2 linked regions of the Coturnix japonica genome follow. The protein of the gene in region 2 purifies or fractionates together with the protein of the main gene of each other region. This does not show direct contact. Links are inferred from orthologs where the notes say so. Each region holds a gene or a part of one and is shown on either strand. Other genes may lie near its edges.

Region 1 (3,827 bases), on a different chromosome or scaffold from region 2:
AGAGGTTAAAAAAAAGTCTAAGATGTTCATAATAAACAATTACTCCTGGGAAGGAAAAAACATTGACACGCATTTAAAGCACTGAATAGTTTTAGAAATCCTGAAAAGTACCCTGATTAAGAGTTACATGTTTCTTGATAAGGTAATTTTTTTTGTTTCCCAAAAAACATGAAGTCAGTAAGTTTCTACGTATAAGAGATACCATGAAAATAGATTTTGTTTTTACAAGCTGCATCCACATGGATGGCATCAGATTAAGAATCGCTGTTAATCAGCAGCACAAAACACCCAAAGAAGTAAATGCACTAGAGGCTTAATCATGACTAGAAACAAGACCTACTGACTTTTCTGCATAAACATTCAAATGTTTCCATCCCTATTTGATCTCTACTTAAAAAAAAAAGAAGTTAAAAGACTTACCAGCTTCCTGTGAATTTAATACTTCTAAGGCATGCATCATGGCACTTGCGAAGACGTTGGCATCTTCTTTGCTGCCAAAATTCAGACCATACACTTGTCTAGCATCACGCCACTGATGAAAGGTCTGTGTAGCCTGATTGTACTTGAGCCCTTTTGGAATGGCACAGTTTATTACCACCTATAACAGTTAACAAACGAAATAAATAAAATTGCTGCTTCATTGCAAGTTTCATTTAGATTTTACGGAGCAATATAAAGAGTTCTGACTTTTAGTAGCAAAGTAGTTGTGAAAATGCATCTGGATTTCAGAAACTGCCTTGGTTTTCTATTAATCTCAGAGTACTTGTTAGAATACATGTATATTTTTCATGAAATTATCACCTTCCTCCTGTGGATGCTGCATCCCTTAGCTTGCAGTGCTTTCAGCAGCAGCTTACATGGACTTCTACTACACATCATAAGGTATCATCCTGCAAGACTGTTACAGCTCACACAAAAGGTGATAAATTCTACCAGTACAGCAACCATTTATTATCAGCCATCCACTAAGATCTCATTGCACTTGGATAACAATATCTTCTCAGTATTTTCTGCTAACAAAAAAAAAAAAACACCAAAAAAACCTGTCCTTAGATGAATACACAGGTATTATTTATTTCAACAAGTTCTTAGTGAGAAATCAGACAAGGTATTTTCAGACTACACCTCACGTACATGACAGAAGATCAACAGAAGAGAATCATTTCATGAAATGCTGGGAAAGGAGTGATAGATAGAAATTTTCCTCAAACAAAAAGATAACTCCAAGCAGAGCAAATTTTAAGACAGAGTGCCAGACTGTTATTTAATCAAGATCTATTAAATTCCTCAGCAAGGAATCACAGTTTAATCATTACTGCTCCCTTCTCCAGTCCTCAGGGTAGTAGATGTTTTTTGGAATAAACTGACCTGAGGAAATGAGCAAGAAGAAGCAAGAAGCAAGAATAGAAGTCCTTAGATTTAAACTTTGGCTTAAAGAGAACCACATAACCTATATCTACACTACTATTCTTCCTCCCTGCATTTCCTGTAGGACGGAATGCTAAAGACTGCACAAGGAGAATCACTTTAAAGATATACAAAGAGTTTAGTTTTATGGGGAAAAGTTATAATAAAGTTTCATCATTCAAGTTAAAAATGAAAGTAAATTTACTATTTGTAGCTCCCAAATTTCTGAAGATGTATTTCTTAGTGTTAACAAGAAGCAAAAAAATTAGCTTGAAGTTCTTATTCAAATTTTTCAGAGATTCACTTACCTGATGATCTTGAATCTTCCTGCCCACAACTCTGAATGTGTTGTTGCCTGTGTGATGATATATGTGAACTCTGCTGAATCCAGTTGATCCACCAGCTGGTACCCATTTCTTATTGGCATCATCATAGACCATTACAGCAGCTCGTGCTTGGCAGATACTCTGTTCACTGTTAAAATACAAGTATTTCGGATCAGAACATTAAAATTCTTTTCACTGAGAAAGTTAAGGTAGCGCTCCTTGCATCTTACTCACTTTCCATTAATTCAAAACTGCTATCATTCGACAATTTGCTAACAGGCAATCTTCTGAGCACGTGCAGTATAGACAAGTACAGTACAACTACTAATAAAAAAAAGCATTTCCTTTCTTTGCACCTTTTCTTAGCAGTTTTCTTTACATATTTTCTTTTGTCCTCTTCACCACTTAAGAACTTTCTAATCAAATGCTAAAGCAATATACAACATTTTGGACCAACAGTGAAGAACAAAGAATCTGGAGCTGTACTAGCTTCATACAACTTGCATTTTCCAAAGGGCAACTACTTCTACAAGAAGACTGGAATGCCCCGGCTCCTGTTAACATATATGAGGAAACAAATACAAATGCATGCAGGCACACATAGATGAGGTTCAGCGCACAGAAGTTTATCTTCTCATAAACAAAATGCTTTTCCATTTTGATGTATTTTACATCAGTTAGCACCTGGAATTTACATTTCCTCCCTAAGGAAAGGTTCTGTTGATTACTGAAAACTGCAGTTTCAACATCAGGGGACTTTACTGACGTCCACAGCTAATCCTGATTACAGCAGTCATCTGAAAGCTAAGGCACAGCCTAAAGTTAAAGGGAGAATACCATGAATGGCATCATAACAGAAATGAAACTAAGGAAAGCAGAATGTACTGGAAACAGGATTTATTGGAGGGGTGTGGATGGGACAACACAAGTTGTCTTTGCAGGAAATGTCCAGATGCAGACAGGACATAAAAATAGAAAGGAATGATTTCTTATCAGTATGCCAAATTCTCTGAACACTGCACTCCAGCAGACCCAGCATTACAGAAAACACATGAGATGCCTGGCTTGCAAAGAATGTGGTGCACCCAGTTGGAGGACGGAGAACGCTGAGGAGACATGCATTTATTTAGTTTTTTAAATGAATCACAGAAGGATAGTCATGAAATATTTGTCCATAAAATATCAAAGTGGAGAACACAACTCCCCACACAGCCCTACTAAAAAAAAAGACAAGAATCAAGAGATTTCCCAGTATCTCATCTCCAGACACAAGAAAACACAGAAACACATCCAGCTGCTTTGCTAGCTTTCAATGACAACGGTTTTGACAAAACACAATTTCCACCACACTTCCCCCACAGCTCTCCAGCAAACAGAGTAAATGCTCGACACCAGAATAGTGGAGAAGAGAGAATAAAGAAATCACGCTTCTTACAGCAGCAACAGATTCAAGATCAGATGAAGAAATACACTCTCAACTCTAAAATGACATTTATTCTAGTCTCACAATCTAAGCTCATAACAGGAGAACAACCTTTCAGTAGGCCACCTTTTTTTCCAGACAGAAATAATTTAAATACAGGTAGAGTAAAATTATAACATATGAACTATACTGGGAAAAGAAGTACAGTATACACATCTTAAAATCTACCACTTAGACCTAAAGGACCACATCTGGTCCGTATCTGGTCCAGAGAGAAACATTAGCCGCAAAGACTCTCCTACTCCTGTGAATAAAATATCTAATCTCAGGAGCTTCAAAAGTCGTATTAAAAAGCACAGCACAGGTAGGATGGCGTTCCCTCATCTGAGCAGAGTGCAATTCAAAAACATATTAGATTTCCCTATTTAGACTATTTTGGCAACAATCTTACCAATGTTCAGATCCAGAAATACTCAGCATTGTTCACAAAGTAAAAACTAGTGGTTTTCCACATTACAGAGAAGTTTGAACCTACAACAGTTTTCCTAAGTCTGAATCTGGGTTCACCATAGGCATGATAAACCATAAGTGACAGCGCCTAGATACTGATTTGGAAACAGAGCCACGTGGCCTGCAGAGTTCCCGTCAAAAAATAACTTCACCTCAGATTC
Region 2 (2,907 bases):
ATCAGACTGAGGACTTTGATATCATAGTAATAGAGTGGAAAGCAAGTCTGTATTGTTATCCAGTCCCTTGGCTGCTTAGCTTGTCTAAAAACAGGCTCACTTCAGCTCAGTTATGAGTATGTACAGACATGTACACAGACAAATACAACACAAAATAAAAGCTGAAGTTGTAAGTTTTTACAGCACTAAATGAACAATCCCATCCCAAAGTTCAGGTTGCAAGTGCACAAAGTACAAAGTAGTTCTATACATTCTGCTTACTACTCACTGTCAGGATTAGTAATCGGCCTGGTTTGCTGCAAACATCGAGAAAGTCTGCTGAAGCTTCTCAACCATAAGCAATGTCCTTTTAGAATGAGGGAATATAAGTCACAACTGACAGGACAGAATTTCTGCATAAACTTTCAGTTCTTTCTAGCATCTGCTGGCAGGTCAAGTTCTGTTACAGTCCTGTATCTTTGGAATGTTTTGACTGAAATTAGAACAAAGTGCAAGATACAGACACGGCCCATGATGACCCTTATCAATAGAGCCAGATCATAACACAGGAGCTGTGTGCTCTCACACAGAGAAGAGACTGAGGATACAACTAAAAGCTTTTCCTTTGAGTGGCATACATCAAAATGCTACACAAGATGCTGACACCAAAAGCAGCAAGTGAACCTGTCAGTAAGTTGACATTTCCTGCAAGAGATACACAAGAAGTGCAAATTAAGTATTTTATTTTTTTTTCTCCACATACATAATTAAAAACAAGAATGAACACAGGACAGGAAATCAAAGAAACTAGACATATTTACAGAGACAACTGAGTTAGTCATCTTTTCCCATCTTCAGAATCAAGTCATCACAAATCTTCGTTAGTTCATCATTTTCTTTTGTCTGTTAAAGATAGAAAAAGAAGAGTTGCAGGTATGTGTAAGCTAAGTTAAAGGCAAGTAGTGACCTTTCCTAGCATACAACAGAAAGTTCACTTACATGCTAGCAAACTATATAGGTTTAACCCAAAGGACAGTCTACTTTGTAAAAATTCCCAAGAAGTGAGCTAAATTCACTGTACTTTCTGCTTCTGGATTTCCTTAGAAGAATTTGTCTATAAAGATCATAGGTACATGATTTTTAGACACATTCATTTTGTTAGGTATACTGACATTTGAAATGATAGCAACAATTTAGATCTCACAACACAGACATCTCTGTAGAACATTTCCACTTATTTGTTCCAGTAAATGAAACCAATGTGCCTTTAAGAAGCATCTTAAAACTTCATCTATGCAGTATGAAGACTGCAATCCAAACCAAGGATTTAGAGCCTGAACAACATTGAAAGAGTTTGTACTAGTACTAATGGCTTACAGAGTAAATGCTTATTAGATGTGCTAATTCAGACAGTTATTCAAGATTGTTCACAGCTTCTACTCTTGGAGATGCTTAAGTTTTAGAACACCATCTCCATTAGTAGTTCAGATGCAGCAACCTGGACTGATCAATTCTGTGACTCGTCTAAAGGAACAAGCCTTTCTGTTCCAAAAAAAGATCTGTATATACAAGGTGAGTCTTGACATACTTGACTTCTGCCTTAAGCTTCAATGCTTATTTCCCAAAGCCCACCTAGAGAGCAGTCTCCAAAACCAGCACACACAGTGGTACTGCTACAAGATCTCGAGGTAGTCTAAGGCAATAGCTTAAAGAGACTCATGGCATTTTGACAAACCTTTTGTTCAAGGCTCCTCTCTAAAGACTGGATCCTCATCTGTTCTTTGCGGAGACTGGCTTGTAGGGCTGCAGTTTCTGATTTAGCTTTGTTTCGTACCTGGGCAATTTCCTCATTTGCTCTGGAATTGAAGAAATACGGGCATTTATATTCAGACAGCATAGCAGAACAGTTCATAGAATCACACTAGTTCATTGTACTTGAACAGTAATAAGAAAAATATTTTAAGCCAAGATTTGGCATTAACGGGCCACATTTTACAGCAATTAGCTTTTTCTCATAGTACTTACTGTTGCAGCTTTTCTTCAGCATGTGCCTTTAGTGCCTGGTATCTCTGCTCTTCTTTCTTAATTCTAGCTAGATACTCTTCAGCACATTTTTTCAAAGCCTCTTCATTCTGACCCAGAAACATGTTTAGTTAGATTTTATGTACTTGTAGGTGGAAAAGTCTAACTCCATTTCACAAATCAGCTACTTAACCGTACCAAAATGACAGCATTTGCTCAGAATACTAAGTACAATTATCAACTTCCATAAAAGCATGGAAACAAGTCTAAGTCTTTCTACTAATTACAGCTCTTGAACTTAGCAATTCACTCTGCTTCTAAAAGATGCTTTAGTTCTGTGCTAAGGAAATAGCTTCTGAATTCCAAATGCAGCAATAGAAGGGATGCATGATAAAGGAAGTCATGCATAGGTTTATGTTAAATAAGCTTATGCAATTCATACAAGTCACCATAGTCTGTGATCCTTATTAGCTCCATTATTCCAGTCCATGGATATGTTTACCAGTTTAAGCTAAACAATCCAGTAAAGTATGAGTTTGACTTGTAATAGAAAACCTTCTTCAGCATCCATTCAGTGCTACGTATGCAAAAACAAGTTGCCCTCATGCAACAATTAGTTACATGGGATTTATTCTCTGTGCTTAACAGAAAAAATGATATGCATACAAAAGGAGAAAGCTCATTTTGTTTGAGGAAATCTTGTCTTCTAACAGAAAGTTCATCATCACACTTTAAACCAGACACTAAATATAACAGGTCATTTTTTAATCTTTAAAGCAGACAACTTGTTTTACAGGTAGTACATCCGCCATTCAATTAATGGCTGCAGAAGAAATTAGTAACTTCCTTTCCACCTTCAAAAGATCAGAAGGCTAATTTATCTTAAAAGATCGTTTGCTCTACAGC

The links.
Region 1: the proteins of TACC3 (region 2) and ENAH purify together in Homo sapiens (co-immunoprecipitation; 3 studies listed by BioGRID and IntAct, with this or other methods). This does not show direct contact. The link is inferred for Coturnix japonica from reciprocal best matches to the Homo sapiens genes TACC3 and ENAH.

What each region holds. Positions count from the first base shown.
Region 1 is NC_029518.1:15,085,866-15,089,692, reverse strand, and holds part of ENAH (protein enabled homolog), read right to left. Parts: intron 1,882-3,827; coding exon 1,716-1,881; intron 599-1,715; coding exon 421-598; intron 1-420. UniProt on the Homo sapiens protein: Ena/VASP proteins are actin-associated proteins involved in a range of processes dependent on cytoskeleton remodeling and cell polarity such as axon guidance and lamellipodial and filopodial dynamics in migrating cells.
Region 2 is NC_029519.1:76,056,011-76,058,917, forward strand, and holds the end of TACC3 (transforming acidic coiled-coil-containing protein 3), read right to left. Parts: intron 2,112-2,907; coding exon 2,005-2,111; intron 1,836-2,004; coding exon 1,715-1,835; intron 883-1,714; coding exon 814-882; 3' UTR 706-813; downstream 1-705. UniProt on the Homo sapiens protein: Plays a role in the microtubule-dependent coupling of the nucleus and the centrosome. Involved in the processes that regulate centrosome-mediated interkinetic nuclear migration (INM) of neural progenitors.